Caenorhabditis elegans: one gene and its partners. The protein of the gene in region 2 purifies or fractionates together with the protein of the main gene of each other region. This does not show direct contact. Each region holds a gene or a part of one and is shown on either strand. Other genes may lie near its edges.

Region 1 (7,035 bases), 7.1 Mb from region 2:
CCCCGTTTTAGTTAGTTTTTGTTGAATATGCAATTCCGCAGTTTCGGACGAAAACCTTGCAGCCAAAACAAAAATTTCAGCGTAGCTACAGGTATCAAAAGTCTTTTGTAACTTCCTGTTCGTAAATATTTTGTTCTTCTTCTGCGAAAAGTTCGTTAGAATGCCTCATTTCTACCACTTTTTATGATAACTTGGTTGGGTGCTATAATTACTGTAGAAATTTCCGTAATAAGCTCGATAAAATTGATTATTTTCTGATTTTGATAGGTTTACCCACTGCAAACACTGTTTTTCTACACAAAAAAAGATTCTTATCTTCTTGGCGCCATTTCAGGCGCACTTAGATACCTAACTCAAAATAGATGAAGTTGTAACTTGGTTCCTTTATTTTCACAATTGCAGTAAAAGAAAGCTAAATGAATCTACCGAAAAAAAACCACAAAATAACAAAAAACTGCGAGATGAGAGGGGAAAATTCGGAAAGAGAATGAGAGCAACAAATTTTAATTGGCCTCTTTGAGGTGTGATATTGAAACAACATTTGGGGAAGAAAACGGACCTTTGAGACAGCTGTTCAAATTATTTTTTGAATGAATGAAAAAAGAAATCTCATGGACAAAAAGATTGGCAAGAAAATATCAAAAGAGAGAAAATAGATATCATCAATGAAAGTGGAATAAGATTGATTGCAAAGAGCAAATCACAAGGGTTATGGAGGAGTGGAACAAGAACATTTCTTTACGACAGGGCACAGAACACATCTAACTACCGTAGTCTGTACAAAAGAGAACTGTGTTGCTATAATTAATTGTCACCCTGTAGTAAGTTATGACTCATATATTAGTATATGCTTCAATTAAGTTTCGCTAGGTGGCAAAAAAAAAGAAGAAAAAAATCAACTTCAGAGGCTCAGATCCGTTTGTATTTTACAGGAAATTGTTGTGTCGAGACCGGGTATCTTTTTTTTTGAGGCAAAAATTTCAGAATTCCGCGTCTAAGTAATATGAAAACAAACAATGATTGAAAATTAATATTTATCGAAGAAAAAGAAAATAATTTTACAATAAAATACAATAGTTTTCATAAATCCTGATGACCAATGATGACACGCAAATCCTCAGCACAACCCAACAGCGAACAAGCTAACTTCCCAGCGAATAATTTCCAGAGGATGGAGTCATACATGCAGTTTGGATAGAGATCGTCAATCTTTGTTGCCGATAGAACTGCTTTGAAAGCATCGGAAAAGATATGAAATGTTGTTTTTAACTATGAAAATCCAATTCACACAAACCTTCCCATCAGATTCTGGACAGTCGTCACCATGCTTTACAAGTACCGACATGTGATCATACATCCTCTTCAAGGTCTCAATTTCCTCAATATCCCTTTTGCTACAGTCTTTTTTTAAAATAAAAGTTTTAAAAAAATTTCACACATTTTTCATCTTGTCAATATCCGTCGCAAACGTGGCAAATAAAATAATATCACCCCAGTTTATCTACTGAATCCTGTGTCACTCTGGATATATTGTTCCCGTTGAGTACATTGTCACCCAAAACTTGATCATCTCAAAATAAAGTCTATCAGAATCATCTCCAGTAGAAGAAATGAAAAACCACTATTGGGAGTGTAGATGGGCGATGAAATAAGCGAATGCAGACGAACGAGAAGCTTCGTCTCTGAAAATCAAGCAAAGAGCAAAACCAAAAAACATAACTTTTTCTGTTTGATTTGACATAACAGTTTGCACCAAACTGTTACAACATAACATATTTGTTTAATTTCAGATTGGCATTCTAAAACATCCAAGCTTGAAAGTAAGAACTCTTAAATGAATTAATTCCACTTCGAAATCCATGCATCCGGAAAGAATTTTCTCCTTCTTGTCCAAGTCCAACTGAATAAATAAAATTGGAATTTTCGTGTTACCAGAAACAATTTTACCTTTGTGAATGCCACACATACTCCTGCAATGTGCTCTGCGCCGGGAATCGGAAGAGAAAAACAGACTGGTGGGGGGTTTCTCACTGAAAATTATTAACAATTGTTTTTTTATGTGAAACAAAAGTTCTGTGAAATTTATATTTAAATAGCAAAAAATTAGCAGAGTTAGAAATTCGCGAGTTTGAAAGTTGGATTAGTAGTTTCAACTCGCTTTTTCTGAATTCCTTTTGTGGGATATCTGAATTTGAGAATTATTTAAACATATTCATATGGAACCCATTTGACCGCGTATTCCATCTTAAAGTTCTTTACATACAAGATATTTCTTCACTGAAATAATGTCCATCAACTCCAATCGACAAATCCAAGCCAATGGAAACTGGGTTATAGGTTGCATTGACACAAACTGAATTAAAAGTATTGGAAAATTAAGAAAACAAAATTTAAGGAAAACTATTACCTGAATGTCTGAATTCTGGAACAGAAATTTCTAGGCAGCAAGCACAATTTCCGTGTACACAAGCACATCCGTTCTCGTTTGATGAACCAGTTCTCAGAGACAGTTCTGGAAAGGTTTATTACAATTTTAATTAGCCTTTATGTATTTTTTTTTTCTCATTCCGAATTTCAGTTTTTTAAAGTTTTGTTTTGGCTTGCTGGCTTGAGGCTGCTTGAGCAATTGTCTTTGTTAACAACGTAAAACAGAATACAATTTTCAAAACCTTTTCAACAGACCTTTCCGAACAACTTGCTTCGAAGTGGATACTTTCATTTTGTATGAATCCGTGTGCACAGTCATATGAGTTGTATTTCTATTACCCAAGGAAACTATTATTTCATCTGAAAATTAAAATTTTTAGAAAACAAGAGGATTGCTGCTAGTCAGTAAGAGTTTGGCAAATTGCCAAATTTTCGATAAACTCGGTTTTTTTTTCGGAAATTTTGAACGTTCTTGCACTATTTTTCTTAACAAAAAATATTTCTTAACTTGATTAAAATATAAAAGTCGTAGAAAACATTTTGCCTATTTGGTAGAAGAATTTTTTTTTGATTTCAGAACTTTTTCAGATAAATTTTTTGGAACATTCGAATATTCCAAAATTATAACAGTTGAGAACTGAATCAATACCATTTTTAAATGTTATTAAAAATATCAAACCAGTTTCGCAAAGTTTTACTGTGAAAATTTATCATTTTAGAATCATAGGAGTCATACCATAGGGCGCTAATCCACTTTTAAATTTCAAAAAACTTACTCTGATTAGCTCCATCGTCTCCCAATTTAAAAATGATTTTGTCAATTTTTTCCGATAATCGGAGTCTTCCATTCAATTTCGATGAGTTTCCATTAAATTTCACATATTTCGAAACAATATCCCATTTTTTGTTGAGAATATCGATTGAATTAATATTTTTGTTGAAATCTTTCACAGAAAAATCCACAATATTTTGATTATTCTCAACTGCTGAGGTGGAAATTAACGGTAGGATAAGCAGAAGAAAAACAGAAAGAAAGAGGTGCATTTTGGAAAAGAAATGAAGATTTGGACGAATGAAAAGGGAGAAGGTCAGTTGACTCTGTTACACAACCAGATGTTCTCCCAATAAATAAATCAAAGATAACATCTGCGGATATGTTTTTTTTGACAACTGGCTAGAATGATGAGCTTGAATCGATGGTAAAGATTGATGCGGTAAACATAAATTACAATAATTTGTTTATTAATTTCCTTGAATAAATAGGTTTCCAATGCTGAAAGGTGGAGTACGACATGTTGTAAAATTATTAAGATCCACGCAATCGAAATATCCAGCAGTGCTTTAAAATCCTTGAAAAGTTTGGAAAAACTTAATTTTTGCCCCTGTTTTACTCGAAAAAAAATATCAGAAAAGAAACTTCGGTACAAATTCAATTTGTTCAGAAGAGTACAGTGCCAATCTGCTATGAGATATCCATTCATTCTGGGATTTCCAGACATTTTCAAACTTGTTAACCAAAAAATCAGTATAATAATTGGATTAAGCATATCAAATTACATCTATAACTATAATTTCATTTTAAAATTTCAATAATTGAGAAAATAAGAAAAAAGTTGGAAAAGTGACATGCTATATTCTTGCCTTCAAGGCCGGATTCCTCTACCACAATTTTAAAGAATATTAATTCAGATTGAAAGTTGGAAAACTTGGTTCACGCTTCACTCAAGTGTAATCAAAGTTTGATCCAACTTTCCGTCAACATATCACTTCTAGAAGATTCCAGGAGACTATGTTTTGCCAAAGTTTGGCTCAGGTTTAACCACTTCTAATCCAAGTTAATATTCAATTTGCCAAACTTGGGAAAGAAACTAACGCCGTGATAGTTGGAACTTACAATAAGATGTAAAATACTTTTAAAAAAATACATTTATTTACACAGCACAAAAATCTAGTAGTATAGTTGAAACCAAACGACGACGATGATGATAATGAATACAAAAAGAGGCAATCGGTTCTTTACTTTGGATTGGAAAAGAGTGAGAGAAAGAGGAAATTGAACTGGAAAGTGCTCGATTCGATTCGAGATTTGATGAGAAGAGTAGTGATGAAGAACAGTTGTGAGACGAGTATATGCCTATTGGTCTGAAAAATGTATATTTTGATATAGAAAATAAAAACAATAAAACATACTCTCACAGGCACGATCAGTGTAGTTAGTAGCTCCTTGTTCAGCCATAATTGCCATATCAGACATGACAGAAGCTGTTTCGGTGAGCTCCGAATGTTGAGATTCTTCCACTTGCCAGTCCCACTTGCAACGATCAGGAATCATATTTTCCATACGAATCTGGAAAAGTAAAGAACATATTATTGTTTAATTGTAAGGAATATGGAACGTTAGGTACTATCTAATTTATTAGAAAGGTGATTAGTAAAGTGCTTGGATCTAACTAAAAATATCCATCTAGACTAATTTTAGTTACCTCATTAATCAATGCCTTCAAATGTCTGTACTCTGGTCTGATTTCGAATGAGTATCCATCGATCATATCCATGATCGTCTCAAACTGTCTTGGAGTTCGATTGAAGAACAAACGACGAGATTCATTTCGAATTGAGAGCTTCGATTGTCCAACAAGTGTACGATCAGACATATGACGCCATGGCAACTCTCCAACCAACATCTCAATGAGCATGTAGAACCAGCATTCAACATCATCACGTCTTCCAAGATCCATACGTTTGTGTGCTTGGAGACTTCCATATCTTACAGTACCTCTCCATCCAACCTCTCCACGAGACTTCAGCTTCTTGTTATCACGATCAATAAACTTCTTCGCAAGTCCAAAGTCAAACATGAAAATTGTCTTATGCTGTCCATTGTCGCGTTGTCCTGGAGCAAAGTTGCTTGGCTTGACATCACGGCTCAGGTATCCAATATTGTGAAGCTCTTCAATAGCTTCAATAGTTTCAAGAGCAATCTTTGTAGTCGTATTGAGAGTGAATGAACGAGTCGGTTGTTCGGCACGAAGACGGTAGAGATCTTTTCCAAGAATACTGATTATCATGTAGTTGTATTCACGACGGATGGTTCCCTAAAGTTTGATACGTTTTTTTGATTTTGTAATCCAAAATCCAAAATCCATGAATTCATAGTCTATGATATAACTTACATAATCAATGATATCACAGAAATGAACTCCATTGTGGCGTCTGATACTCAACAAAACCTTAATTTCCATTGGAAGCATCCCTGTTGAATACTTTTCGGCTTTGATTGCAACACTTCTGAAATAGTTCATTTTTCATAGAGATTCAATTCAGAGGAGCTAATTTTCAGAAAGTTTATTATTGGTTTGTTCTGAAATTTAATGAAGTGAGTAAACTAGAAAATGATCTACAATTCTGGAAAAGTAATAGGACATTTATTTGAGATGTACGCATAATGCCTCAAAGGGCATTATGAACCCATGGTACGATGTGGTAGTTTTCAGAAAACCACATAAATTTTGCGTGGAATAGTTCGCGTGACGCACTTCTTTTAAAGTTGCCGCGATTTGGAAAGAGCAAAAAACCAAATAAGCTACAAACCTGCCACCAAAAATGCTCAGAAAAACATGTCCCATTGCACCATCGCCCAGCTTCTGACGCAAAATGAAACGATCTCCTTTATCATTTTCAAAATATTCTCCAACCGTCGGAAGACGATCCTTTCTCTCCGGCTTATCCTTAATCGCCGGTCCACGATGACGTGGCTCGGGAGCTGGAAGCTGATGAGCAGCGATGTGCTCCATTGCGACAGACTCTTGAGCCACCACGAGATTTGCTTTAGAGCGTTTGTGGTTCAACTGAAATGATTTGATATTCTAAAGATGAAGAGAGATCGGAAGCTTGATCGTACATTTTCCTCGGCAACCAATGTTGGAGTGTTGGGAATTTGAACCATGTCGGTTTGATCCAACGCTGAAAATAAGTATTTGAAGAATTGATTAGAAAATGTCCAATGTAAATCTATAGACTATTTTGAATGCTTTAAAGTACAATTCATATTTACAATAGTCCAATATCCGCATCTCAAAAGTTCTAGAAGATTCCAGGAGATTTCTAAAACGTAAATCTCCAGCTGAAAATGACTTACCAGTCGCCATGATGATCACAGTAGAACTTTAATCCTTCGAAAACTGAGTGTGATAAATTCAGTATTGATTTTTTTTCCTAATCTTCAAAGTTCATCTGCCCAAAAAAATTCCAACAAGTGTGACACGGGGGCGGGTCACAAACAAAAACGTGAGATGTTATTATTTTAAGTCTTCTAGAATTCATTCTCCGTTACCGAGAAAACAATTTTTGACGTTGTTGTTTGCATTGATTCTCTTCTGAAAATAATGGGACAAAAGTGGAGTGGAACAGTTTCGGTAAGAATTTTAATATTGGAAATGTTCATTTTATTGTTCTGTTTCAGAAAACACCATCGAATCCAACTGTCTCTGTATGTGTTTTGTTTCAGAAAAATATCTAAAAAACTCAATTTTTGTTCAGAAATCTTCGTCGGCACCATCTTTAAAATCAACGCCGAAATCGGATAGAGAAGACCAAGAAAAGTCTAAG
Region 2 (6,366 bases):
ACATCGAGTGTGTTTGTGGGATCTCGTCCCTTGAATTTTTCTTAGAGGTTTGTTTTTTTGTTTAAAGGAAGAAGCTTGAGTAGGTTCTTAGTCTAAAAGCACTTGTTGCATAATACATAGTTCAGAATCACCAAAGTCGTATGCCTAGAATTTTAAAAATTTTCATATCAAAGTTTTGGTAATTTCGAGCGTAAAATGTTTTCATAGTATGGAAAATGAAACCCTCACCGGCATTATTTTTTTCAGAAATTCGAAGAAGCCATCAAAAAATACCCATGCGATAACGACGGGGCTACCGAAGCGGCAACCACCAAACCAACAACAACCACTGTAACAACAACAACTGTACCTCCAAAGACAGATCCACCACGGACTGAACCTCCGAAGACAGAACCACCAACGACTGAACCACCAAAGATTGAACCACCACGGACTGAACCACCAAAGACCGAACCACCACCGACTGAACCTCCAAAGACCGAACCACCAAAGACGACACCACCAAAGACAGAACCACCAACGACTGAACCACCAAATATACCTTATTGTTGGCAGCAACAATCAAGATTATTTGCACCATCCCCACCCCCACCACGAGTGAATAACACGATGCCATTGATTGAAGACAAATGCTACGCAAAACTGGGCGACACTCTGGTTATGGCCTGGTTCGGTAATCGGGCGCCCCCGAAAAACTTCACTGAAGTATTGGACTTTTGTACTGTGGCCGCACTAACTTATAATAATGAGTCAGCTGTATTCAGTGTGTTCAAGAAAGACATCCAGTGTAATTGTGACAAATTGTCTTTTTCACGTTTTCTAAAGGTTTGTGGTCACTGGAGATTTAAGCTTGGTGCACGTATTGTAGTCTTTTGCGGCCCGCCAACTTTTGAAGCCCTTGCCTGCATCTTTTTTGTGGCACATTTTAGCCCCAAATCAAGTCGATCCGATTTAATTTTGGTGCTACAGTTTCCGAAAAAAAGGGATGCCGGAAAGAGCTCCCAAAAATTAAGGGGGCTACTTCACCTTTGAAAAACATTTAAGAAACTGTCTGAAGCCATGGAAAAATACCAATGTAATAACGTCTGGACAAGAACTGAAGCACCAGAGACTGTAACTACAAGGACTGAGCCACCAAGGACTGAACCTCCAAGGACTATACCTCCGAGGACTGAAGCTCCAAGGACTGAACCACCACGAACTGAACCACCAAAGACCGAAGCTCCAAGAACTGTGCGGCCAAAGACCGAAGCTCCAATGACTGTACCACCACGGACTGAACCGCCAATGACTGAAGCTCCAAGAACTGAAGTGCCAATGACTGAACCACCAAAGACTGAACCACCAAGGACGGCGCCACCGAGAACTGAAGTATCAATGACTTTACCACCAGAGACTGTACCTCCAAATACTGAAGCTCCAAGGACTGAAGTACCAATGACTGTACCACCACGGACTGAACCACCAAAGACCGAAGCTCCAAGGACTGTGCCGCCAAAGACCGAAGCTCCAATGACTGAAGTACCAATGACTGGACCTTCCAGGACTGAAGTACCAATGACTGAACCACCAAAGACTGAACAACCAAGGACGGCGCCACCAAGAACTGAAGTATCAATGACTTTACCACCAGAGACTGTACCTCCAAAGACTGAAGCTCCAAGGACTGAAGTACCAATGACTGGACCTTCCAGGACTGAAGTACCAATGACTGTAACTCCAGAGACTGGACTTTCAAGCACTGTAACTTCAAAGACTGAACCACCAAAGACTACGACTGAAAAGAGAATAACTCCAAGGACAGAAGTGCCAAAGACGGTTCCTCCGCGGACTGGGCCACCAATGACTGTACCTCCTGGGACTGAAGCACCGACGACTGAAGCACCAATGACTATAACTCCAAGGACTGAACAACTAAGGACTGAACAACTAAGGACTGATCAATCAAAGACTGTAACTCCAAAGACTAAAATTACAGTCTGGCCTACAGACTACAGAGGTCCAATTTGACGTCTTTCTAATTTTCAACAATTTAATAAATATGTATATTCATTTTCAATAAAGCCCATTTAATGAGAACGCAAAAGTACAAGAAATACAGAAGTCAGTGCAATGAGATCGCATCCACGTTGAGAACGTCACTTAGTTGGTCGAAATCGCTGAGATCCTTGTCCTCGGGAGCTTTTAAGATATAATCTTCTTCCTTGCTCTTTTGTACAACGGGCTCTGCAAAAAATGAACATCTTACTAGACTCCTCAAAGTGCTCGGGAGCTCATATCTCAGATTATTTTAAAGATGATTTAAAAAATTTTTTATTGCCAAACAAGATAGAAATACAAATTAGAAGTCTTTACCCGTTGGAAATCAAGATATGTTAGAGCAATTTGGTAATTGTATATTAATCACAGAACTAAAGAGAAACAAAGAACACATATTTTGTAGCTCAACAAGCCACCAAAGCTGATACTGCCATTAACCAAATTTTTAACGACCGTAATTCTGTTCAACATACCTTCTGGAGCAATCCACATGTACTCAAAGTGATCCTTGGCGCACTCAGCACATCCTTTAGTCCATTGCATGCAGTACACAGGATGATAGTTCAGATGCACAATCTGACCATCGGCTTTTCCTACCCAAACTAAAACTCGACAGCCTTCCGTCTCACAATATCTCCCGTATCTCGCGAATTTCTTGAACGCCTTCGTGTCGAAACGACTTTTACTGTTCAAGGGGAACGGTTCGGCTTTCTGGAACTCAAATCGCAGTAGAGTTTGCTCGGTTTGAAGTTTGGCGACCCACTTGCCGGCGGGAGTCGCGTAGTAGCAGACGCCGGCGAGGAACTGATTCCCCGCTTCATCGTTGAAGTAGGCGGCTTGGACTTGTTCGGTGATCTTTTTATATGTGAAGTACCCCTTGATGTTCTTGTACCAGTCCAGAGGCTGGAAGTCATGACAGTTTTGGCCGATCTTGAAGTTTGGCAAAGCCATTGACACGGCGATGTAGTTGGCGGGGATATCGGTGTCTTGGAATTGTTCTAGAAGAACATTTTTGATCATTTCGGTGCATTTCTTATCGGCAATTGGTTCCTGGGAGAGGGTGAACGCAATTCGATCCTTAGAACCTTCAAGCTTCTGGAAGTCCGCCGTCTTCTTGAGGATCTTCGGGATGGTTGGGTAGCGAGCTTCCGGGTAGCCCATCATGATTTTAGAGCGAGTGACCACGCACTCGCGGGTTTTGTTGTAGGCTGCCGTCAGTTTTGACATTTCCTGGAAGTAAAGTTGTTTGAGAAAATAACTACGAAGGATCAAAAAAATAAAAACCAAGAAATAAAACTATGTACAGTCTGAAACTGAATAAAATTATGAAAGCTTGGAGAAAAGATTTCAAAAGTTTCAAATGTTTTTTGGGAGTTGGTATAACTACAAACTACAATAACTACAAACTACAATAACCACAAACTACAAACTACGGCCTGCAAAAATACCAACTGAAAAATTGTACAGAACTTTCTAGCAATAAACGTTGTTAACAAGAATCAAGAAATAAAGTTTGTGTTACAAAACTGCTGAACTGAAACATCTTTGTACTTTGCACACTTATCCAAAAATTCCAAGGTTTCACAATGAGATAAGAAGTGATAGTGCAAAACATAAAGTTACTGCAAAAACTACAAACTACAAATACTACAGAATCCATAAAAAAGTTTAGGTATACCTTTGCAGGAGAAAATAATAAAATCAATTTTTTTGGAAGTTGTTCCATTTCTGCATGAAAGCCAGGCAGACAAATTATAAAAATTATGCAAGAAACTACAAACTACAGTAATTTCAAAAATGTAATCTCTGTAAAAACTAGATAATCACAAAATCACGACAGCAGCAACAAAAAAAGAGGAATCGATGAACCAAATGAGACACCCGGAGGGGTCGGTTGGTAGGGTGGCAGATGTGTCCGGGGTGACCTACCTCTCCACGGAGACAGCGAGAGAGAGAGCACGTATCGAGAGATCAAGATAGAGGGAGTGGGGGGAGGCCAGAGGACCATCATTGTCCTGTCTCACCAACCCATGATTAAACAGAGATTTGCCGCATGTCTCTGTCTCTCTGTCTCTCGCTCTATCTCCTCGAGGAATAGGAAATTTTTTACAGTTTGGTGTAGATTACACGGGCCGAGTTTTCCAGATTTTCGGTGAAATTTGAGCTTTACAGGAGAGTCCAAATTTCAGCCCAAACGTTTAAGGTGCTGAAAATTTCAGTCAAGAATGAGAAAGTCCCTCCTGGAGGCTATTAGCGGATGAGCACATAAAATCTCCTCGATGAGATCGGCTTTTAGATTCTCAAGAGAGTCCAAATCCAGAACACCTGCTCTTTGCAATTAATCAGGCACCACATAGATAATGAATGCGCGAGAGGTGTTGGTTATAGGGCATTTTAATTACAGCAAACTGAGCCAAAGGTGGATGAACATCTGATAGATGGAGGGAGCATCGTAACAAATTTCGGAGTTAGAACCGGACAAAGTTTGAGGTACAGCAAAACTGGTTCTAGATTGTCCAGAACTTCCACAGATCAAACTTCAAAAACCTTGGTACTGTGATCTCTGCCGCCACAAAGATGCCACAATTCTTCCACTGTGACATAATCTGAGGTCGTCTACGGTGACTCAGCTTCTGACTTGCTTTGCTCAATTTTTTCTAGCCAAATATTTTTATTTTATAGATAATTAATTATCTTGAACCCAGATTTTGGTGGTTTAGTCATACTCAAACATCAATCAGATTCCAGACAAAAGAAACCAACAATTTGTATTAAAACATCTCTATAAAATGCCATAGATTTTGGCGGGGTGAACTATAAAAGTGCATCGAGCGGAGGAGGTGATCGAGCACTAATCCGTTGTGTTTTGAACTTGAGTCAAAGAAAATACGAATGAATGTTTATTGGGAAGTGTCTTGTTGCAGAAAAAACATTTCAACGGTTTTAATCCACCAGTATCTTGCGGTGCTGTCCTCTAAATTCAATCCCATGTATCTCAAACTGGGGGACACCTAGAAAAAAGTTGTCATCTAATAAAATGTGTAAAATTTTAAGATAAACAATTTATTAATTGACAATTTTTTGCTATCTCTCTAGTTTTTGAGTTATCAGACTTTCGCCCAATCTCACCCTAATCACAATACATGGTACAAAAGTGAAAATTCTGTAAGTGGAAAATAAATTCACATCTGAAATTGAATATATGAGGCTTAAGTTATCAGTTAGCTCGGAATCTTCTCAATTTTTTCAGTTTATACCAAACTACCTTGAAAAATAAAAGAAATTATTTTCGAGCACTCTCCTGCCCTAGCCATTGGCGCTGAAATCCTTTTAGCCCTCAAAAAGTACACGGGGCGGAGATTCGTCTCTTCACCGCACATAATTCCACTTCAGACAGAAAGCTCATTCTCTGTCTCATTCTAGATACTCCAGCTATACATATTCCGAGAAACGTTACCTGCTGAGGTAGATTGATCAGCGAGCTTGATACCCCGTTCAAAATCGTGATCAGTATACTTCGTCAGGCAGCTTGTTTTCTTTTTGTGTTCGGAAGTTTGGACAAGGAGGTAAGGAAGAGTGTGAGGGGTTTTTCAGTTTTTCAGATACTTTGAGCGGGTAGTTTTGACCCATTCGTGATGTCAATTTTATAGGCTGTTTGAGCTTGAATTCTACTTGAAAAAGAATGTCACAAAATCCAAGATGCCTGAAAAAACCAAATGGAAACACGTAAGGCACACCGATGGCAATAAATTTATCTGGATATTCATTTTCAAATCGCGAAAGTTTAAAACTTTTTTGGGGAGTCTAAAAGATCCATACACCAAAGCACAACCTTACCAAGATCCCACTTTCAGCCGCTAAAAGAAAAATATTTTTAATCTACATAATTGCAGTGCGGAGGTGCATTTTCAAAATCTTGACTTTAACACATATCTTTTTTGTGCTCTCTGGACTCATTTGTGCCTGATAGAGACGCCGATGAGCAATCAGTGGCGGGTGATAAGACAAAAAGTCAGAAGACAGACGACTTCTGTCTCTTGCTACTCGAGCAGTTAAAAATCTGCAACGGTACTTTTCCAGATCAAACTGGAAAATCAGCCTTGAATTGTGTTCTAGAGAAGCCTTGCAAAGAGTAAATTGATCGAATTTGATAGGGAACATCCGTGAAGATCACTAAAACTTCTGAGTTTCTGGAATTAATTACAGCGCACCTACTAACCAGCAAGTTCTCCAAACCGAGAATTACGTCAGCCTTTATGAAATTTGAGATGAATCTGTGAATCTTGTTCCAAACCGAACCAATTTTTTGAAAATATATAAGTCCTT
Region 3 (9,605 bases), on a different chromosome or scaffold from region 2:
AAAAATTTGCTGTTTCGACAAATTTTGAAATCTTGAATTTTTCTGTGAGCTTTTTAACAGTACACTAAAAAAATTGTTTTTTTTATAATAAATGTTCAAATTGCTTCATATATGGTTAATTTGTGTTTTTACCGGTTTGCAAATATAATGAAGTCACAAATTATTATGAAAAGGGTTAAATTCGAAAAATAAAGAAAATCAGAAAAGACATCAAAACTTTTAATGTTTCGATACAGTTTCGAAAGTTTGCACTGTTCCTCAAGCTTTCAATGCTCGACTATTCATCTTCAAAAATTTCAGGCATTCTTCACGCCACTCGGAGAAACAGGCTTCAACATTTGGATAGTTAAAATCAATATGTACACTTCGGCAGCTTACCTGATGGCGTTCATTTGTGTGCTTGCAGCTGTTTTGATGTTGGTCTTCTTTCAGGAAGATTATGCTGGAATTATTGATAAAAATTCAAGTGATGAGAAATGTAAGTTTTGATGGGAAAAGAAACTGCAGAAAAATATTAAAATTTCCGTTTCAAAAATTTCGGTTAAGTCTAAGTTTTTTAAACTTATTCTATTGTTGTATTTTCCAATTTTCGTTAAAAGTTGCAGCAACTTGCCTTGCCAATCTTCAGAAAAAGTTTTAAAAGTTGATTTAATGTAAAAAATATTATGTTATTACGGGAACAATAAATCATGATAATGCGTACTTGGAGCATTTTATTTGACGCGCGATATCTCTTAGCGAAAACTACAGTATGAACTCAAATAACTATTGCTATTTGAGTTCTTACTGTAGTTTTCGCTAAGAGATATCGCGCGTCAAATAAAATGCTCCAAGTACGCATTATCATATTGTTCCCGTAATAACTATACGTTTATTAAAAAAAAGATAATTTTTCATTTTTTTTTTTCAGGCAATGCGGACTATGTTGTGGTGCCGAAATTCGATTTAGTTCCGGCATTAGTTTGTATTTATTTGTACATGATTGTTAGTATGATTGCTACAAATATTGAAGTGTAAGTTTTTTTTTCGAATTTTTCCCCTGTTTCAAAACTAAAATTTCTTTTAAAACATCTAAGCGTTCCACTTATCTTTAATCAAAAAAAAATTTCAGAATGTCTACTCCATTGACAACTGTTCTCTACGATTGGAAAGATTCTCAAGCGATTTTGTACAACGGGATTATAGAATCAATTACCTGTATTGTGTCGGTTTTGATTAATTTTGGAATTGGAAAAACTAGAATTGGAAAGATGTGAGTTCTTTTTTTTCTAGAATACTTGTGATTTTTCAAATTAAATAGACACGGGGAATTATGTTCTAAAAAAATTTCAATTTTTTCACTGTTTCACTGACCAGCTTTCAGCTTGGACAGCATTTCGTGTTCACTGATCTTTACGGGCTTACGAAGTTTTCTAAAAAAAAATATTGTGAATTATTGCTGTGACAGGCGCTCAGCGTGTTAAAATTTTTTTTCAGCAAATTTTCAAATTTACAAACAAATAGAAAATCTAACAGTTTCACATCCCCTATTTCAGTTGGAAGATTTTTTTTCGATTAATTGTTAACTGCTTTTTGTCTCATATTGTTATAACATATTTTCAGTGACAAAAGAATTCAAATTCTATTCGGATTGGGTGTATTCGTCGCATTCCACGTGGTCAACTATCCATGGTGGTTCTACTCGGGACCTCTGCACTTTTTGCCGCCAGGTAAGGGTCTCGCCGCGAATTGATTTTCAAAGTTTTCTCAGAAGTATGATTTATTTGAATATATGGAATCTAGAATATGTTCCACAGTGACTGTTCTGGAAAATGTGAAACATTTTAGTTTTAAATTATACTGATTCTAGGTTCCAACACAACTATTGTCGGTGGATGCCTTGATTCATATTCATGGTGCAACACGACAACTCGTGTCCCTATGGCTCTCTACATTTTTGCATTTGTCTTCTTTTTCGGAATCGCTTTCCCATTTGTCGAGTCACCGGCCGCCGCACTTTATTCAGAGATTTTGGGTCCACGGAAGCAGGGAACCATGCAGGGATTGTTCAGTTTTGGTGGAAGTATCACGCCATTTGTTGCTTCGATTATTATCACGTAAGTGTTAATTGACTTTAAACTAATTATTTAAAATAGTCTGAATTTGAGTTTGGATGCATGAGTATTTAGAAGGATTAGTATCGAGAAAGAGTTTAAATTTTATTTGTTAAAAACTTGAAACAGAAAAAAAAATTATCACAAAAACCTTTTTTCACGAAAACGGATTTTTCTTCTAGTACTGTTCAATTTGATATTCTCCATCCTCAAAGAGTAAAATTAAAAAAAAAAATTTCAGATTCCTATTCCAACATTCCGGCTACAAATACGTCATCATCCTACAGTCAACCACAATTTTCATTGCATTCATTCTGATGGGTGTATTCTACAAAAGACTTGTTCCATTGAAATTAAGACCAAAGTCTGGAAAGTCTGCAGAGTATAAAAATGGAGTTTATTATTATATGTAAACTCTATTTTCATGAAAACACGGAATCAAGATTCTAACATACATAACCAAGTTTTAATTCATTTTTACACATTTTCAATTGTTTTTTTAGATGTACCACAAGATCTCACTATTCGAATTTTCATATGTTTAGTCGTTTTTTTTTTCTTTAAATTTAAATAAACTCATAAGTATTTCATATTCCTTTGTTCAATTTTTTCGAAAAATAAGCGCTGATTGGTTCGAAAATGGGTGGGGAACTCTATACGTGTGTAGAGTTTTTCTCAGAAACTCGATTCAAACTGCCTCCAAAATCCAATTGTGCGTCAACTCTCGCGATGTGCGCCAGCAGCTGTCTGCGTCAATGGAGCGCGCTTGCATTTTCTGCGTTCATCGCGATTTTTTTCTGCGTTCAGTACTCATTTTCTGCGTTCAGTACTGAACCACCGTGCATCGTTTCTATTTTATTTTTCTCCGCATTAATCAAGTTTTCACCATGTTTGGACAATTTTATTCAGGAGAATTCTCGAGAATTTATTAAAAAACAAAAAATAAGAAATTTTAAATAGATAATTTGCAGGAATGTTCCGTAGGATACCCCTCGGGAGGTTTCTGACGCGAAAAATCCATAATCAAACCAATGGGCTGATTGTTAGTCATTTTCCACTGATTAAAAATAGCTTAAAACTGATTTTTCCACACACAGGTTCCAACAACAAATGTTCAAAAGCAACAAAAACGACAGATTCTGTTCAAAATGGGGAATGAGACGCCGGCGCGAGTGGTTGGATATTATGTTGTGTGAGTTTTTTTCGAAAAAGTGATAAAAATTTACATTTTAATTTTCAGATTTCCCGTAATTCCCGAGGAAACCGTGGAGAACAACTGCTTCATGTACAATATCGCTAAAAATGAAGATTGGCCGAAATTGGCCACCGCCGAGCCCAGGGTAGCTAATTTTTCTGGATAAAACTTTAAATTATTGGTTTTTCTTCAGGAACTGTATGAAGGAACCGTTCGAATGCTCATGGACTACGGAGCCACTGTAATGGAGCACATGGAGCATCTTGCAACGTGTAAGATCTGTGAAATCTGAGAAAAAACCAATTTCAAATGTATTTTCAGTACCAGCAGAAGAGCGAAAGTTTGAAAACGTCGTAGAACCATTGCTTACGGAGGAATACGAGGTCAATTTCGCTTTCCAGACACTTGTGCTGAAAATGCTCACGGATTGGCCTGATTGTAACCGAAAACTCTTCGATGCGGACCTTCACCATGTAAAATAACAGAAAATTTCATGAAATTAAGTGGAAAACCTAAATTTTTTTAAATTTTAGATCAAAATCATGTGTGCCCGCGATCAAATGGAGAAGTTAACCAACAAGGACTTCCAGGACGCCATCAAGCAGCTTTATGAGGCAAAAGATGGACTTTCCGAGTGGCAATCGAGACTATTGGAGTGGTATTTGCTCGAGGTGCCATTTTAAATATTTTCTAACGAGAATATGCCTGAAATTGACTGGAAAAAGTGTTTTTCACCGATTTTGAAATTAAAAAATTTGATTTCTGCTCAGAAATCATAGAGACTGTAGTTTGCTAAATAGAAAGCATCGATTTTAACTCAGCAAAAGGATATTCCGTCTAACTTTCCCAGGAAAATTGTAATTTTTCAGCTAAGTTCGCGGATTTTCTGGCTGAAATAAGATCAATTTGCAGATAAAAGCTTCTGGATTGGACAAACACGACGATAAAACGCGTAAGGTTCTCGGATCCTGGAGCAAATTTGTCGACGAGTACAGGAGCAAGTATATGTGAGTTTTAAATGGAAGTTTTCAGCTTTTAAGCGGCTTTTTTTCAGCACCGGCGTGATGTCAACCAACGATCAGCAGACATTTGTCGTGACGGACCAAAAAGTGATAAAAGATGCACCTCCACATGTTTTACAGAAGCTCGCTGTTGATGAGTAGGTTTTTTTAGTAGCAATTGGCGAAATTTTTTTAGTAGCAATTGGCGAAATTTTGTTGAGAATTCGTTGAAAAGTGGTATTTTTAAGCTAAAAATCGAAAATAAGCTCCAAATTTTCACAATTTTTATGCTTTTCACTAGAAAAAAATTGAAAATTATCAGAAAATCGTGAGAATTATTATCAAAAAGTACTAGACGAAATTGTAATTTTTTCTGCAAAAAAAAGTGAAAAGGTAAGAACTTTCTGTAAAATTTTTCAATTTTCTCTAACCATTAAAAATGCTCAATTCTCCAATTTCACTCAAATATTCCCACTTTAAACTAAATACTAATTCAGACTAATTTCTTTTTTCAGACAAAACTGGGAATCAGGACCATGGCGTGGACGTATGACACCTCACACAATCTACCCATTTATGCAATATTGTGGAGATCGTCAATTGAGAGCCACCGCATGGGAGAAATGGACGAGTAAAGCTGGATTTGATCATGATTTCTACAATAATTCAATCAATATCGAGGAGTTGAGACATAATAAGTAGGAATCCGATAAGGAAAAATAATTGAAAAATGGCTGAATTTTTCAGCGAAGGACTCGCCAAAACGCTTGGATATTCATCTGTTGCTGAGCACCGACTTGCGAATAAAATGGCTGCCTCGCCGGAGACAGTTAGAGGATTTATCAATGCGTGAGTTTTAGAAAAAATACTGAAAAATTGTTTTTTTAACGCTGAAAATTTCCATAAATGTGAAGATTTTATTTTAAATTCAGCTTTTGACATTTTACCAAAAAATAGCCGGAAAAAAATTTAAAAAGAACCCAAATCTAACAGTTTTTGACAAAAAATTTTTATTTATACCGAAAAGCATGATATTCCAAATTAAATCAACTTTTTTCTTGCAGTCTTCAACGTAGAATCCGGCCTGTAGTGATTGATCGTATGGAGTCCTGGTCCGCATGGGCTGGACGTTGTGAGCTTATCACTGGCGAGCTTCAGGCCTATGATATGCCATATGTGTGCAGAAAAGAGGCAGAGCATCATTATGAGTAGGTTTTTTTTTTGAAAAAGTATTGCCTGCCGGCCTACGCCTGCCTTTCAAAGGGGAAGTCGTAAAATTTGCAATTTTTTGGTATTTTTAGAGGTATTCGGATGATTTGAAGCTTTTTTTTTCTAAACTTCTAAGTGTTACGAATTATCGGAAATTCAAAAAAAAAGGTTTTCAGATTTTTTTTTCAGTTGAAAAGCTCAAACTTTTCATTTTTTCGGTAATTTTAGAGGTATTCAGAACATTTTTAAAAAAATTTTTAACTAATTTTTTTCAGTGTCAACCCACTGGACCTAATGAATCACTTCCCATTCTGGCCAACATTCCAAAATATAATGGGAGTCATCGGACATATTTTCAATTTGGAATTCAAAGATATCACCGATAAGGGACTCGAAAAAGCGCATGCTGACGTCCGGATCTACTCGGTTGGCGACAAGTTCAGCGGACAACACTATGGAAGATTATACATTGATCCATATGATCGACAGAATAAACGAGGAGGATGGAATGTTATGCTTGCGAGACGTAGGTTTTGAAGAATGCTGAAAATTTGGAGAGCTCGAGAAAAAATTTGGAAAATCACCTGAATTTGTATCGAGTTTTTTAGAAAAAAATTAGAATTTAGACATTTCCTGTCGGAAAATTCAGTTTCGATTTTGTTTGAAAACTGAAAATTTTTGATTTTTGTATTTTTGGAACACTTCATTTTTTCCATCGAAAAAAATATGAAAAGACAGAAAAAGCGAGGGAATTTTAAAAATTGTCTTTTTAGAATAAAAATTAGAGGAAAAAATTCTCCTCGTTTCAGACTATCTGGCTTTTTTTTCAAATTATTTTTGCAAAAAAATTCTTTCGAAAAACGTTAATAGAATAAATTCTGTTCAAAAATAACTGCAAAAAACAACACAGGTTAGTTAACAAATATATTTCCAGCGGAATCCAAAGAACGAGGTCTCGACAAGATTGTGTACTTCATCGGCTCAGCAATTGCTCCAACTTCCAACGGACCGTCTCTTCTCCATCACCAGCAGCTTCAGCAACTTCTTTTCCATGTCAGTAGTCGAAATTTTGGGTTTGAATTTAAATTTTCGAAATTTCCAGTTTGGCCGAAGTGTGCAGCTTCTTCTATCACAATCTCCATACCGTGATATTTCAATTCCATGGTCTCCATTCTACGCATCTGACTGGGATGCAGCTGACATGTTCCCAACATTCTTGCAAATGTTCGTCACGAAGCCCAATCTCCTTGCAACAATTAGCTCTCCGCATCAGGTATTTTTAGTCGAAAATTCTTGAAATGTCTGAATTTCTGTTTCAGATCACAAAGCAATCGTTGACCGAAGAGCACGCAAACTCGGTGGCTCTTACGATCTCACGAGCATCACTCTGGGAAACCTACCGTACCCTCTTCTGGTCGGACTTTGATCTGTCGATTTACGAGATGGAGGACAGGAAGCAAAAGTTCTGGCTGGATATGTACAAACAAATGTATGAGGAGTATTTCCCGTTCAAAAGAGCCAAAAATGACTATCAACCGTGCTCATTCACACCGATTTTTGCTCTTCAACCACATATGAGCATGTATTATAGGAAGCTGTGGGCTGAGGTGAGGTGGTTTTCCAGTGTTAGAAAATCATCAGAATTTTGATAAATACTTTTAAAAAAAATTATCTCAATTATTTCTGAAAATTGGCTCAATTTCCAGATGCTCGCCTTAGATATCCATGAGACATTTGACGAGGAAGACAATGAAGTGCAAACGGGAGAACGATTGAAAACGACAATATTGAATAGAGGAAGTGGAGATGTTGCGAAGGAATTGTTCAAAAGATTCCAGGTAGGGGAATCTTCTTTTTTTGACTGAAAAATTGGTGAAAAACGGCATTAAAATAAGCTGAAAATCTTAAATTCTGCATGGAAAAATCTCAAAAAATCGTATTTTTTTAAAATTAGAACGCTTTAATTGAACTCTATTTTTACAAGAAGAATTCTAAAAGAGTTCCAAACAATTACTTTCATTTTTTAAATTCCAGAAAAATGAAGCCATTATTTAATTTTTTTTAAAGAAAAATATTCATTTCCATTTTTTCAGGGCCGAAATCCATCAGTCGGAGCCATCTGTGATCACTACGCCCCACCAATGGCCATTCAAGATGAAATGGAAATGTCGGAGAATCAGAGACGATGAAAATTCCCCCCCGGTTTTTGGAGATTTTCCATCTCTTTTTCGCTTCTCACCGGGTTTTCACATATGTTTAGATGATTTTTTTTCTGTTTTTGTTATATTTTTTTGATAGTCTTAAGAAGAAATAGGGTCTCATAGATTGTTCTCTGTTATTTAATGTTTTTCCCCTCATTTTTAATTTTTGTTTTACTTCAGTAATGAATTCTTTTCTTTTTGAAAATTTATCGTTTTTTGAGATATCGTTTTCCAACGATTGAAATATTTTTGTTTTGAAATTGAAAAAAATGTTTATGTTTTTTATTTAACAGGAAAAAAATTGAATTTGTTTTTGAAAATTACCTTTTCCAGGACATTGTGTTATTTTTTTAAAACCAATTTTTGAAATTTTTACTTTTTTTTGGAAATTAAAAAAAAAACGATTATTCCATTTTTTTTTTGGATATTTTTGAGCTGAATTATTTTTAATTTAAATTTTGCTCACTTTTTTGAACAAAAATTATAATTTATTGATCAAAAATTAAAATTTATTCCAAAAACTAAATTTTTCCAGGCATGTCATCTGGCCCAGCGACCTCCGGCTCATCATCGGCTCACACCGAGACCCAAGTGGTGGATGAGGTAACATTTCCGCGAAAAAACCCACTAAATCTGACTAAAAACCGTCTTTTTCAGATTCCGGAGGCACTCAACACTATATTGCTGATGGTGGTAAAGAACTTCTTCTCAAGTGTAAGCGAAAAATCTGATTTTTCAAAAAATTCTTGAATTTTTAATTTTCCAGGAGCACTTTATCATCGTCTACCACATAATGCGAGCCCAGTGCATTCGCGAGGAAAATCTCAAAGCCCGAATACAATTCGATCAGAAAATGCTCAGACAGGTGTGCTGAAACTTGCTTGAAATTCGAAAATTCAAAAAATTTGACAATTTCAGCTCCTCGCGTCTCTGAAAGCTGAAAAACTCGTGAAAGAGCGCACGATTACGCAGAAAAACGAGAATAATCGAACGGTTTCCATCATTTTCTACTATATAAACTATCGGGCTGTGCTCAACGTGGTGCGCTACAAAATCGATCACATGAGGTGTGAAAATATAATTTTTTCACTGAAAGTTTAAAATTTTCCAGACAAAAACTCGAGTCCCGAGAGCAAATGGACACAAATCGAGCTCACTATCGATGTGGAGCGTGTCAGAGTTCTTATGATGTGAGAAAATTCTTTTAAAATAGAAGAATTCTCTGAAAAAATCATATTTAGATGCTGGAAATCAATCGGATATTGGACGCTGAAAGCGGGCGGCTTATTTGCTGGCGGTGCCACGGAGATGTGTTGGCGGATGAGACGGTAGTACCATCGAGGACGACGAGGTACTTGGAATATCCTGAAAATCTGAAAATTCGGAAATTTCTGGGTTCTGAAGCGAAAATTATTATGAATTCTGATCGAGCTCAAAGCGACGAATTGAAAAATTTTCAAATTGACAGATTTTTGAATTTGTTAAATTAAATCTACAGTACTCTAAAATTTTTTGCAATTTTGAGCTCCAAAAAATTGATGAAATTTTACTGTTTAGGGTCTCCTTTCAAAAAAAAACTTCGGGTTACTGTATCTGCATATATATTTTTTTTTATTTTTTAAATTTCCAGAACCGCTGTGGCACGCTTCAACGAACAAATGACACCGCTCTTCTCTCATATTTGTGCTCTAAACGGTATCCAATTGGCTCCGCATCTCCTTGAACCGGATATCACGAAATATTTGGAAGATGACAAAGAACTGCAACTACAGCAACAACAAATGGACTTTACGTCGGGTGGAGGTGGTGGTGGACGGATACAGTTGGGAGGAGTCGCTCATTCTTATCAAAATATCGCTTCGATCAATTATCAGAATGGAGATGCAGTTTTTGTGGATTTAAATGC

What was found.
Region 1: the proteins of F33E2.5 (region 2) and C09D4.2 fractionate together in Caenorhabditis elegans (co-fractionation; one large-scale study listed by BioGRID). This does not show direct contact.
Region 3: the proteins of F33E2.5 (region 2) and eelo-2 fractionate together in Caenorhabditis elegans (co-fractionation; one large-scale study listed by BioGRID). This does not show direct contact.

The regions. Positions count from the first base shown.
Region 1 is NC_003279.8:5,487,936-5,494,970, reverse strand, and holds C09D4.2 (DUF4773 domain-containing protein), read right to left. Parts: upstream 3,548-7,035; 5' UTR 3,472-3,547; coding exon 3,204-3,471; intron 2,788-3,203; coding exon 2,683-2,787; intron 2,513-2,682; coding exon 2,408-2,512; intron 2,354-2,407; coding exon 2,264-2,353; intron 2,031-2,263; coding exon 1,948-2,030; intron 1,901-1,947; coding exon 1,787-1,900; 3' UTR 1,708-1,786; downstream 1-1,707. Other genes in the region: C09D4.3 (Protein kinase domain-containing protein), read right to left, coding at 4,562-4,569, 4,618-4,774, 4,911-5,522, 5,601-5,715, 6,019-6,275, 6,329-6,390, 6,566-6,575; C09D4.9 (Protein AF-9), read left to right, coding at 6,813-6,842, 6,890-6,916, 6,967-7,035.
Region 2 is NC_003279.8:12,589,082-12,595,447, forward strand, and holds F33E2.5 (YqaJ domain-containing protein), read right to left. Parts: upstream 3,271-6,366; 5' UTR 3,268-3,270; coding exon 2,514-3,267; intron 2,227-2,513; coding exon 2,105-2,226; 3' UTR 2,035-2,104; downstream 1-2,034. Other genes in the region: F33E2.6 (DUF3707 domain-containing protein), read left to right, coding at 1-47, 247-825, 1,045-2,010.
Region 3 is NC_003282.8:17,247,067-17,256,671, forward strand, and holds eelo-2 (Peptidase M3A/M3B catalytic domain-containing protein), read left to right. Parts: upstream 1-3,064; 5' UTR 3,065-3,066; coding exon 3,067-3,135; intron 3,136-3,190; coding exon 3,191-3,285; intron 3,286-3,333; coding exon 3,334-3,433; intron 3,434-3,481; coding exon 3,482-3,560; intron 3,561-3,609; coding exon 3,610-3,761; intron 3,762-3,821; coding exon 3,822-3,959; intron 3,960-4,200; coding exon 4,201-4,295; intron 4,296-4,342; coding exon 4,343-4,447; intron 4,448-4,804; coding exon 4,805-4,987; intron 4,988-5,036; coding exon 5,037-5,138; intron 5,139-5,158; exon of another isoform or gene 5,159-5,285; intron 5,286-5,353; coding exon 5,354-5,497; intron 5,498-5,773; coding exon 5,774-6,024; intron 6,025-6,432; coding exon 6,433-6,551; intron 6,552-6,600; coding exon 6,601-6,771; intron 6,772-6,817; coding exon 6,818-7,105; intron 7,106-7,204; coding exon 7,205-7,336; intron 7,337-7,591; coding exon 7,592-7,687; 3' UTR 7,688-7,898; downstream 7,899-9,605. Other genes in the region: mfsd-8.1 (Major facilitator superfamily (MFS) profile domain-containing protein), read left to right, coding at 301-478, 911-1,013, 1,112-1,252, 1,603-1,709, 1,850-2,096, 2,335-2,506; gtf-2E1 (HTH TFE/IIEalpha-type domain-containing protein), read left to right, coding at 8,237-8,302, 8,357-8,413, 8,466-8,564, 8,618-8,766, 8,811-8,889, 8,941-9,050, 9,330-9,605.